Drosophila melanogaster: one gene and its partners. The protein of the gene in region 3 interacts with the protein of the main gene of each other region in a pairwise test. Each region holds a gene or a part of one and is shown on either strand. Other genes may lie near its edges. The genes, in order: Cdc6, CG3706 and Arp10.

Region 1 (4,709 bases), on a different chromosome or scaffold from region 3:
TCAAATGCAAATGGCAGCGCCAACAGACCTGTATGTTTTTCGAGGTTTTTCGCCTTACTGCTCCCTCAGAAATATATGTATTTTTGAGGAATAGGAATATAGAACGCCATATACCTATAGATACATTCATGCATATATCTAGCTGGCCTCTCTGCATATAGCTTATTATTCAAACATTTGTTCGCCTTTCGTCAATACGCGTCGAAAGGCAACCAGAGTTTTTGAAACATATTTTTCATTGCGCTCTGGTTGTGTCGGTGGTGCTCAATGTAATTCATACCACTCAAATGGGGATATTTTTAGAGCAGAGAGCGCAGGAAGAACAACAATAAGCCAGCAAATAAATAAACAAAATGATTATAGAACAAATTAATTTCATGTCGAGATGGCCAACAAAAGCCCACACAAATTCAGAAGCACTGGTGTTAATTTGACTGGTATGTTCTGAAAACGCCTCAGAAAACAATGGCAACAGACTTTCCCTAAGATTTTCACAACTTTTGGCACGACCCAAGATTCAAACTTGCGGCGCAGCGAAAGTGGAAAACGTTTTCACTTTTGCGTTTTATGTATTGCGGAACTATCTAGTTTATTCTTATTTGCTTAGGGCTAACAGGAAGGGGATTCTCTATAACTTATTGGTCAACGGATCGGATTAGAAATAGATTATGGGCGCAACATTTACTTAGATTTATGACACACACAAAGTCTAAAAGAATCGATTCAATTAATAGTCAGAAAATAGCAGAAAATGTCGAAAGTGACCGTCAAATGATATTTCAAAATATTTCAGTGCTTGCGCCAGCCACGAATTTTAAAATTAGCGTCAAAAAGTATTCCTATACATATACGTTCGTCCCCAAGGTGAATGAAAATGAGAAAAATGCGCAATTAACCAGCGGTTTGTCGGGCACACTCATTTCCTAGAGGTAATCGTCCAGATCGTCACTTGCTCAGGCAGGCGGTATCGCTGAGGATCGAGGCGATCAGCTGCTTGTCGCTCAGTGCCGCATGCACCTCCTCCTCGTCCCACTGCAGCAGAACCTTGTGCAGGCGCGGCTCCTTTTTGCGCATGATTCGCAGAATGCCTCGGGTCTCGACCAGATCCACAGTCCCAGTGAACTCCGCTTGGTCCAGGGCCAGGATGTTGCGTTTGGCGCACACTCTCCTGTAGACCTCGTGCAGGCGACCCATACTGATGTCTTTGTTGCGCTCGTTGCGCAGCATCAGCACCAGGGTGCACAGCATTAGCTTTTGCTGCAGCGGAAATGATGCCTCGATGTCCTCCTCCAGATTCTGTGAGGCACCGTAGACCTTGTTCAGCACTGCAGCCACTTGGGTGACCTGAACAGGCTTTAGAGTGTCTGAAATAGTCAAGATAGGATTTCTTTTTAACACATTCTATAAATTTATCTTTATATACTAAAGAAACGAAGGTTTACCTTGCTTTTCCTTGGCCTCCACCGCATCCTTGCCCTCCAGCTGCAGGGCCTTCATATTGAACTCCTTTTCGCCATCGCGCTTCTGCTGCTCTGCTATCTCGACCACTCGTCGTCCAATGTCCAGGGCCCTTCGCACATCTCCACTGATCGCACTCACCTTGGCGGCCAGCAGCTGCAGGGTCACGGGTGGAAAGACGTCCAGCACTTCCGCCTCAGCCAGACGCGACTTGAATATCTCCACGATCTGCTGCTTGGAGTAGGGCGGGAAGTGCATCAGTCTGGGCTTCAGCTCGCACCTTGCATTCAGTCGCATCAGCGCACGATCTGTGAGATCCAAACTATTGGCAATGCCCACGAGCAGTATCCTGGAGCCGGGAAGAGCTGGCCACTCGAAGATCGTGTACAACACCTCCTGCCTGCTGGTGCAGAGCTGATCAATCTCGTCCAGCACCAGCAGAAGCATTCGCTTTGCTGTCTTTAGGTGACGCTGAATGGCCTCCAAGTGATCTCTCTCTGTGCGACCGCTGACTTTGAGCTGCAGTTCGGTGCATAGTTTCTTGTAAACTGCTCCTACACTTGCTATGCTGGTGCAGTTAATGTACACACGTTGCAGACGCTTGGAGAAGTCGGGATCTCTCAGCAGTAGCGATAGGCAGGCGGTCTTGCCTGTTCCTGGCTGACCGGAGACATAGAGGCTGCCGGAAGTCTGGCTTTCCAGGTGATTGCTGAAGAATTCACGTAGCTCTTGGAGCTGGGACTCACGTCCTGGCAAGTTTTGTGTCTCGGCGCTGTTGAGCACTCGTCTGGCGTTTTGGTATTTGTTGCGTGAGGGAGATGGCAGGTTATTCTGTTGGGTTTCCTCATTGGTTTGGATATTGCTTTTTTCTTTAGTTTGGTTTTTATTCGGCTGCTTTGTTGGAGGTTTCTCCTGCTGCTTTTGCGCTAATGGATCCTCCTGCTGTTTTGGCCGAGGCTTTGCCTCGTCCTTGGCTTGATGTTTCGGCTGCTGCTCAGCCGTTTCAGTCTTGTGTGTGGTCGCCTCCACCTCTTCCTCCTGGCGCTCGTCGATGCTGAGTCTGTCCAGCAGCCGCGAAGGACTGATCAGGTGCTGTGGCAGTGGCTGCAACTTCCTCTGCTTCGGCGGCGATCCATGAAGCGGGTCCACCTCCGAATCCTGTTCGCCCTCCAAGAATCTAGCGGTGGCCTCACGGTTTTCCTCCTCACGTTTGGCCCGTGAACTGCCAGCTGATTGGACTGTTTTCTTTGTGCTGCGTGGCGTCTTTGGCAGCTCCGATTGAGCCACCTGCACTTGCGATGTCCTGCGCCTGGAGATCTTGTCCATTTTGTTGAGCACGTTGCGGTTCTCGTTGTTCTCTGAAACGGGGCTGGTCAGGTCATAGATCGCCGTCACCACCTCCTCCTCCTCGTCGCTATCGGCAAGCACTTTTTTCGGCTGCCTGCGTTTCCAAACTTCCGAGCGACGCGGCGTCTGCGTCGACGGCGGCAGCGGAGAGGCGGCGGTCGCTTTGCTGATGCTACTAAGGCGCGTGGAGCGGCGTACGGCAGCCATTCTTTAGCTTAGTTTATTGATCAGCAGTTAGTTACTATTAAATACGAGTTAAATAAGCCACAGCGTGCGTTACAATTTTCAGCTGGCAGTCACAGTTAAAAAAGCGCGCAAATTGAGTTTGCCATTCGCCACGAGCAACAGCTGATCAAGCCTGGTCTGGTCATCTGGCAGCTCTAGCCCAGAGCTGCCTATTGTCGATCGCCTATCGATTAGGCGCGCATAGTTACAACATTTCAAACAGCAGTCCGCCTATATTGAATTACTTACATACTCGCGTGTGGACGGCCTGGTAAAAATAAAATGGTCCGCGGCAGATAGAAAACACAAATCGCTGGACGTTGAACACGCTTACGTAAGCGCCTAAAAATATTTCCCCTGGCTATGGGATATTTTTAAAGTATATAAACGGGCGCACATAAAATGGAATTTAGATATAGCGAAAAAAATTATGCACACACACGCTCGAAGGAGAAATACGTAGCACAGTGGGCAAAGATCTGGTGATTTCTAGAAACTCTTTTAATCTCTGTCTGATTTATTTATATTATCATTTGCCGCAACGGCTGGTCGGCCAAATGTGTGCCCCATTTCGGCGTAAACAAAGTCGTTAATCTTCACCGATCCGCTTTCCAGCCCTACCGTACAACTCCGCTGGTCCTGCCCGGCGCCAAAGTGAAGAAGGATGCGCCCACGACAGAGTCCTACTTGAGGCACTACCCCAACCCGGCTGTGCGCGCCCACCCAGGACACGACTACCATGACAGTATCATGAAGCAGCGCGTGGCCGACACCATGCTGCACAAGGTGGTCGGTTCGGAAGCCGACACTGGCCGCGTAAGTACAGGGGACTTCTTAAAGTCACACCCACATAATGGAAAATTACAAAAACTAGAGTTTTCTACATTTAAAATTGATATTTTCAATGTTAACATTTCGAATTCGTGACCTGTAGTCTTTGTTCTAATCCTGTTACGAAATTGATTGTATTTAATTTAAGTGTAAGTTGTAATGGGTTTTACTTACATTTGTGTACATATATCCCCCGATTTTAGGTCTTCCACAAGCAATTCAACTCGCCCATTGGCCTGTACTCCAACAACAACATCGAGGACACCATCAGATCCACAGTTCCGTAAGTTGTCACCCAGAAATGTACCATCTGGAAACTCCTATGCTTAGCTCGATACAATGAAAAAAAAAAAACACTAATATATGAACTTTTGGAATTCGCTTGTCAAATTGAACTTATAAGCCTATGAATTACGCTACATATTCTTTGGATTTTGCAATTTACGAATAAACCTGCGTAGAGTTCTTCGAAATTTTTGATGCAGCTTTTCTTTTTGCCAGAGAGACAGAGAGAGCCACTCGAAATGCGCCAAGTAGCTTGAAAACTAATAAAACGAGTCACGAACACACGGTTACGAGTAGCCTAAGGTCCACATAACCCGAAAAATTGGTTCCTGGTTAAGCTGCGGCCATAATCCACTAACCCAAAAGCCACAAAATCAAAGTCGAAACGAAATTTACTAAACCGATGCACACACGAAATGAGAAACACACACAATTCGAACATACGATTGAACACGAAAACCAGTCCATAGATGTTGTACGTACTACTTACTACTGCCTACTGCCGGATCTCTGTTTTACATGCATTTATATACATTTACATATATAAATATACCACTCTCTAT
Region 2 (3,947 bases), about 19 Mb from region 3:
GTACCTGCAGCCTGGAGTTTTGGCCTCCTCCGGCCTGGATCTGCGGCCCCTGGACTTTGGCCAGCACTGGCGGCATTATGGGCTTCTTGGCGGCGGACTTGAGTAGGGGCACCTGGATGATGCGGGTGGTGATCGTGGTCGCCGGCGGAGGCGGCGGCGGGGCCGGGTACCTCGGAGTGGTCACCGGCGGCTCCCTGGTTGTCGTAGTGGTGGTGCTTGTGCTTGTGGGGGCTGGAGCGGTTGTCGTCGTCGTTGTGGTGGAGGTGCTGCTGCTGCTGCTGGAACTGGTGGCCACGATGTTGGGGCCAGTGGTGGTGCTCCTGGTGGTGCTAGCACTCGGATTGGTTTTGTTCACCCGAATTACGAACTGCTCAATGCCATTCCGGTTCACAATTTTCACATTCCGGCCCACGTTCTGCTGCAGAAAGGGCGATCCTGTGGGCAGTATGGAGGAAGTGCCAGCCGAATCTCCACCGCCTGGCTGCGGACTGTGGATCAGGGCCGCCTTGGTCTTCAAGAACCATTCTGCGGGGTTCGGCAGACATTCGGCGGACACAAGGAAGGGTATGAGCACGGCGCCAATGATCACGGTGCACACGAAGATCAAGCCCAAGTAGGCGAAGAAGGATCGCCGGCGTCGCTGGCCCTTGGCCTTGACGGAGGCGGTGGAGGAGGCTCCCCCGCCGGCGGAGCCCGATCGTCCCGAGCCCGAGAGCTTGCCCTCGATGCGGAAGTCGTCGTTCTGGGGCAGAATCGTGTACTGCAAGCTGTTCTCCCCGTGCCTGATGGTCTTGTACATCTTGTCCTGTTCTTCGTATGCGCTTGGGATGCTTCCGCGGCTGCCTCGATCCTCTGGAGCTTTCTTCCCTGGACCTGACTGGTTCACCTGGCTGCTCAGAGCCTCAGATGGGCCCTGGTCCAAAAGAGTTTGGTTATTCGAGTCACAACTGCCTCCACTTCCGCGACCCCCCCCCCCCCCCTCCTCCAACACTTTTCCCAGTTGTTACCTTTGCGACAGCAAATCCTCAATGTTCACTCTTGCGGGCTGCAGACCTGGTAGCTGCGTATCCTCTGTCCTCGAAGCTCCTGCCAATCGAATGTGGCTTTCTCGGCCTCAACGGAAGGTGCTGTGCGTTCTGTTGGAGTCCTTGGGGAATATTGTTTTTGTCCTGTTCCTGTTCCTGCTGCTGATGCTGATGCTCCTTGCGCACTAAATTTTATGTTTTTATTGATTAGGCGCTTGTTGTTTTCCGGCGCAGGCGCGATTTCCGAGTGTTGGCAAGTGCTCTTCGCGTCCCTTAAGGACATTTTCTAGTGTTGGCAATGGGAGTCTGGCACTTGAAGCACTTGAATCGAATTCTAACGGCTAGGTTTCAGCACTCCAGCTAGTTTTCACATCCATCGACTTGGAAAATCTCTCTTTTGGCGAGATTGTCAGCTCCAGAGCCCCACTACATCCAGTCGGGTCACATCCAAGTACCCACGAACACATTTGCTGAAGCACTCGGTCTATGCAATTTTTTATCTTGGCCAATCGTTGTGGAACTTCTACGCAAGCAGACTTTGCACCAGAAGATAGCCTGCACCACGGCTATCTGGAGCTGGCTATCGGCCGCTCCTGGCGACGATGACGATGACGAGTCCAGCTAATGTATCAATCAGAAATCGCGAGCGCAGACAGATCCAGATTTAGCGAGCTAGTCATGCATCGCCGCAAAGCCCGTCGATTCCGACCCGATAAGCCCAGTCCGAGGAGGTGGGGCCGAAAAGTGGGTTTAGACGGTGGCGGCTTATCGAGTGGCGATAAGCGGGACACAAGACCCACTTCCCCACACATTGTCCAGTGCAGGCCTCGCAGTCGCGTCCAATTGGCCAAGCCGTTCGGTAACGGAGCATTTTTGACGAGGATCGACATTCCGCGGAACTCCAAAGAGGATTTAATTTTGAACAGATTTTGAGCATCTTGGGACACAACATGATCGCAGCGCTCGGGCTGATCTTCGGCATTCTAACGGCCTTGGTGGTCGTGGCACTTAAGCTACTGGGCCTGAAGCCGCCACTAATCTTCGGCAAGTACCCACTGAAAGGCATCTTTTACCGGGTGAAGTTCTGGATCGCCCTGCTTGTCCTTCGCCGCCTGAGGTACCGCATCTACCGTCGGAACGAGGAGCTGCTCGGCTCCGAGGAGCACCTGGCCAAGGTCGACAGGCCGCAGCAGCTCAGCAACGACCCGAAGAGCTATGACGTGGTCAGCTTCATGGCGGCCAACAAGGAGGGCCAGAAACTAATGGTCACCTTGGAGCGAAGGAGGCGCGGAGTCCTCAAGGCGGCACTGTACCTGTGGCTTCCCGAAAGCGGCCTGTTCAGTTCGCCGAATCTGCCCGATATGGTATACTTCACCACCGCGGATGGAGCGGAGAGCAACGCGTTCCAGGGTGGAGGCTTCCACGTCTACCAGGAGGCATCTATGCGTGTGTGGCGGCTCAAGTACTCCGGACTGCTGAAAACTCAAGGGCCGGACGTGCAGGACGTAGCCGTGGACTTGGACCTCCGTTTCGAAAGCTCCTCCGCTGAGCACTTCGACTACAACAGAGATCTGAGCAGCGCCCTGATAGCCGACTCCATAGCCAGAGAGGCCTGGAACGAAAAGTTCTACAGCCTGCTGCGCAGCGTCAACCACATCGTAGAGAAGCGCACCCACTACGAACAGAACGGAGAACTGGCCGGCCAGGTCACGCTCGATGGCAAGGAGCTGGCGCTGAAAATGGTGGGCTTCCGGGACCACAGCTTCGGCACCGAGCGCTGCCTAAGCTCCATCAACCGGTACGTGTACTTTGCCCTCTTTATGGACGATGGCAGCAGCATGGTGGTGGGCAGCCTCAGTCAGCCGTCCTTCTTCCTGTCCTCCCTGAAGGTGGGCTACGTGTGCAGCCCCGAGCGGCAGTATCAGCCGCTGACCGGGAGCAACTTCGAGCTGTACTCGTACGGCGAAAAGGGAACGCCGCCGCAGCACCAGAATTTCATTGTGCGCACCGAGGAGCGGGAGTACCTCGTGCAAATCCAGGTGGAGGCCTCCGCGCTGCGCTACGTCGGCGGCGACTGGGAGTCTAAGGTGTTCAACCAGTTTGTGGCCTGCACGGTCAACGGAGTTCCCGGCCAGGGCCACGCCGAGTTCCTGTACCGCCACAAGGGCGGCAGGCCGGAGGATATATCGTCCGGGGACCCCGGCTGGTACCAGGACATCAAGCGCTTCGAGAGAAGCCTCTCGTTGCTGGAAGAGGAGGGCCAGGACGAAGACTTCATCTTCTAGGACGCCGACGAATTGTTTTTGTTTTCAGTTTAAGATAGCATGTAAAAGTATGGGGGAGACCCATCCTATCAAAATAAAGAGATTTTGTTTGAATGACATTCGAGATTCTGAAGTCATTGGCCGCGCTGATGTCATCGGTAAGTCCAAACTAATTCAGTTAACCAACAATCCAACAGCAATATCCACTGGAGGCCATCCGGTGCAGCTGCAATCTGGTGGACTCGGGTCGATGAGGAAGATTACCGAATCGCTGGTGGAGGAATTGGACCCCCCGTGAGGATTAGTCGCCCATAAATTAGCATGCGACAGACGAACGGATTAGATTGGACAGCTACTTCGGTTTTTCTCCCAATAAATAATGGCGATTCGGGCCATCGGTTTATGGCACCCAAAAGACAACGGGCCCCACTTATCGCTCCGTCGGGCCAATAAAACCCAAGACCAGGCACCAAGACTGGGCCCAAGTGCCCAGGTGTCGCAGATAAGAGGCGAGCGGCGGGGCAGATAGCTTCAATCCAACAAAATAAACCATGCTCGGGATCTGAATGGAGCATTATGCTGCCGTCCGGTTCCGACCTGCCGCAATGTCAGCTTATGGTGGGCCGATAAGTGCCGGGCATGACCCTCCCTTCAGTGT
Region 3 (3,821 bases):
CGTGAATGCGGCCGACATTCAAAAGTTCGACGAAAAGATTGCCGTGGCGCCCGTCAAGGGCAACAAAGTGGATCGCGCCAAGAAGGACATCTTCAAAAAGCTGACCGCCCAGCTGGTCGGACGCAGCGTGAACCAGTTGTTCCGGCACGAGGTGCAGATAGCCAATCTGCCGCCCATGCAGTCGCACAAGGCCAAGGGATCCATGGGCACCACGGCTGACATCATGGATAGCAATCAGAACGCGAGTCTGGCCAGGCTCTTTGGGCCGGAGAAGTGACACGGAGCGCAGCGGAAGCAGAAAACGAGATACACAAACGAACAGGAACAGGATAGGAGAAGCAGGAGGAGGCGTCGCAGCGGAGGCGGCGCCACCAGTGACACCACCTCTGTCCTGGTCGAGGACCGGGATCAGGAGCATGTCGAGACCACGGCCACCTCAGCTGCCAAACTAGCGACGACTGAACTGAATGTAACTGTAAATTAGCTTAGACGATGAGTTCGCACTTTTTCTCGCCCTTGTCCAAGACCATGACCCAGTCCGTGTCCCAGTCCCAGTCCCAGTTCCCAATCAGATCTTACAGTTATTAATTTATTTATTTTAACAACTAAATTTTAAGCGTACCCGCAATGAAGCAATTTTTTATTGAATTTGTCTCATGCGGGCATCGCAACCGCTTCGATCCGAACCGTTTCCCCCCCAGTTTCTGGAGGAAAATGGTGACTCGTGACTTGTTACTGCTTTGTTATTTATTATTCGAAATTTGTTAAACTTGTTTGCTCAAAGGAACTACTAGAATCGCTAGTTAGCAATACTCCGGCCCACAACCGTCAATCCGCAATCCTTAGCCCTCGTCCTATGGCCCCAGGTCCCAGGTGCTTCGCAGAGACGCCAGAAGACCATTTTATACATAGTTAATTAATTAATTATTTAATGAATTGTGCTTTCCTCGTTTTGTATAGTTACCTATGCGCAGGCATAATGTAATTTATATAATTGTACACATTTATCATTTGAAGGAATATTTCTGAAATTACGCTTAGGTTTAGTTGATAGGCAAAAGTTATTATTATATAATACATCAAATTGTATATGATCACACATCCCGCACCGCGAATGCATCATGCATTATGCAGTATAATAATTATAGCCCAAAAACACACCAGGATACTAAGAAAACATAATGAAATCGAAGCGGTCGACCGTGCAAAAACACAAATCGAAATAAGATAAAGCAGATAAATTTGAAATAAATTTAAAAATTCAAAGTGGAACCGACTTGTTTTAGTAATACGCAATATAATAATTTCAAACAGGACGATATCCATGCAAGAAAACATCACTGTGGACGGCAGTTAATGTAGTGACGAAGCGCGCCCGGAGACTTTGCGATTATATTGAACAAAAGTTGTTCTTAAGATATATGAATTTAATTTCACAAGAATCATTATAATTATTAGCTTCAAACTCGCGAAATTAACTTCTTAAATTCGATAAAGTAGTTTTGTAAACTTACTGAAAAGCATACATATGTATGTACACTGCAATAAACTAAAGTAAAGTTGATTCTATTTGTACGTAAGAGTTAGACCTCTTAAAAGCAGAATAATCGACTGACACCAAATGATTCCGAGCTACTTTCAAAATTTTATCTTGTTGGGTTTTAAAAGCCATAAAATACCAAAATACCAAATTGAATGTATTTCAAACCAATAGGCAAAGTTTTAAAGTTACCCAGAAATTTGAAAAGCGTGCCAGTAAAACGGATGCCATTAGTGGAAACAGGGTGTTTGCTCGCTACATCGTCAATCGATGATTTCCGCACACCGATAACTTCTTGTTTTGGCCAAAAATTAAGCGAACTGAACAATATACCATTCCATGGTCTAGTCGGTTCGTCCAGCAAAGGAGCAAGCAGCCAGCAGACAGCAGCCAAGATGCCCATTTACGAGAGCGTGATGCAGGAGAAGCCGCCCATTGTCCTCGACATTGGCACCGCCTACACCAAGTAAGCAAACGCAAATAATTCGGCGAAAGTGGTATGAAGTCATCACTGCACCCTTTTCAGGCTGGGATTCGCAGCGGAGGCGTATCCGCGCAAGATCATGCCCACGGAGGTGGTGATGACCACGACGGGGATCCGGAAGCGTCTGTTCGACTACGACACTCCGGAGGAGCTGTACGACCAGCTAGTGGATTTTCTGCAGACGATCTTCTTCAAGTAGGTGACTCGGTGGCTTTGGTTTCTATTGCAATGTAATTTCCTTCTAGGCATCTACTGGTCAGCCCCAAGGAGCGCAAGTTCGTGCTGGTGGAGAACGTGTTCGGATCCACTGTGCTGCGTGAAACCTTGGCCCGCGTGCTCTTTGTCCACTTCGACGTCTCCTCCGTGCTGTTCGTGCCCGTGCATCTCATTGCGCTGTCTACGCTGGCAGTGCCCACTGCCCTTGTGGTGGACGTTGGCTACAGCGAGACCAGCGTTATGCCCGTCTTCAGCGGGGTGCAAATCATGGCCGCCTTCAAGGATCAGAGCTACGGAGGCAGCGCCATCCACGCGGAGATCAAGCGGCAGCTGGTTGAGAGTGGCGTTAAGGAGAGCCTGCTAACAGAAAGCGTGCTGGAGGACATCAAGGTGCGAACCTGCTTTGTGACCACCATGGAAAGAGCCAAGGCCCGCGCCAACGGCGACGAGAATCAGCCGACTCCCGCGCCAGACGTGGACTACATTGTCAGCGACAACGATGCGGTCATCCAGGTGCCCGGCCTCCTGCGGGAGTCTGCCTACGAGATCATGTTCGAGGCCAGCAACGAGCGGGACAGCCTGCCGCATCTCATCCTGCGCTCCATTCTCGACTGCACACTAGACGTGCGACGTGCCCTGGTCGAGAGTGTGTTCCTCGTGGGCGGCGGCTCAATGGTCCAGGGTCTGCTGGCCCGCCTCCGCCAGGAGCTGCAGCATCTGCTCACCGAGGATCCGTTCTACGCCGAACGCTTCCATGGCGAGCTGCAGTTCAAGTTTTTCAATGCTGTCGGCAAGCAAAACTTTACTGCCTGGCTGGGCGGCGCCTTGTGCGGCGCGACGGATCTCATCCAGACACGATCGCTGGTCAAGGAGACGTATCTAAAGAGCGAGCACGTTCCCGACTGGAGCAACCTGTGCGATAATAGGCCGACAGGCTCGTAGACTCGAGGGCAGTCCCGGAAGATGGAAATATGTACGCTTCGGCGCTTTACTGGTTACGCGTACTAACATACTCTTGATTATTATTCTGTAATATATAGGTATTAAATATTTACGAAATATAGGCTAACGAGCTTTAAACAAAATATTGCTTGTACGTTTTCTGGACATTTATTCTTGGTTCTAATGATGATGTCGGTTTATCAGCTTCATTTACAACTTTACTTTCTTCAAGCAATGTAACGTTGCGTCTCTCAGAGTTAAAAGAATCTCATTTGTACACGGAAAATCAATTTAACATTTATTAGCGGGGATGCGCACCCCAAACAAATGCTATGAAGACGGGTGATTCCTTTTTACATTTGAATCTTATTAACTAACTTGTTCATGAATGGAATATCGAAACATTACAATACGTTTTCGTACGTTTGTGTAGAATTTTGTTAGAAAGGCATTCGCTGAATGCACATGGTCCATACATATAATGCATGTTAACTAAACGAAAAAAAAAGACGTTGATCTGATGTATGCTATAATGGATGATTGGATGATTGGTGGTTTCCTTGCCACTCAGCGCATTTAAGAGCCCACGATGATATTGTTGATGGGGATGTGTATCAACTTAACGAAGAAGCCGATGAA

Evidence for each region.
Region 1: the proteins of Arp10 (region 3) and Cdc6 interact in a two-hybrid assay, tested with the Drosophila melanogaster proteins (one large-scale study listed by BioGRID).
Region 2: the proteins of Arp10 (region 3) and CG3706 interact in a two-hybrid assay, tested with the Drosophila melanogaster proteins (one large-scale study listed by BioGRID).

The regions. Positions count from the first base shown.
Region 1 is NT_037436.4:8,630,938-8,635,646, forward strand, and holds Cdc6 (cell division cycle 6), read right to left. Parts: upstream 3,133-4,709; 5' UTR 3,013-3,132; coding exon 1,443-3,012; intron 1,365-1,442; coding exon 946-1,364; 3' UTR 572-945; downstream 1-571. Other genes in the region: Zasp66 (Z band alternatively spliced PDZ-motif protein 66), read left to right, coding at 3,646-3,846, 4,065-4,144.
Region 2 is NC_004354.4:930,391-934,337, reverse strand, and holds CG3706 (uncharacterized protein), read left to right. Parts: upstream 1-1,862; 5' UTR 1,863-1,975; coding exon 1,976-3,310; 3' UTR 3,311-3,407; downstream 3,408-3,947. Other genes in the region: CG32815 (uncharacterized protein), read right to left, coding at 1-799.
Region 3 is NC_004354.4:19,644,031-19,647,851, reverse strand, and holds Arp10 (Actin-related protein 10), read left to right. Parts: upstream 1-1,675; 5' UTR 1,676-1,935; coding exon 1,936-2,006; intron 2,007-2,066; coding exon 2,067-2,219; intron 2,220-2,269; coding exon 2,270-3,182; 3' UTR 3,183-3,321; downstream 3,322-3,821. Other genes in the region: Ranbp21, read left to right, coding at 1-277; Sec61gamma (Sec61 gamma subunit), read right to left, coding at 3,759-3,821.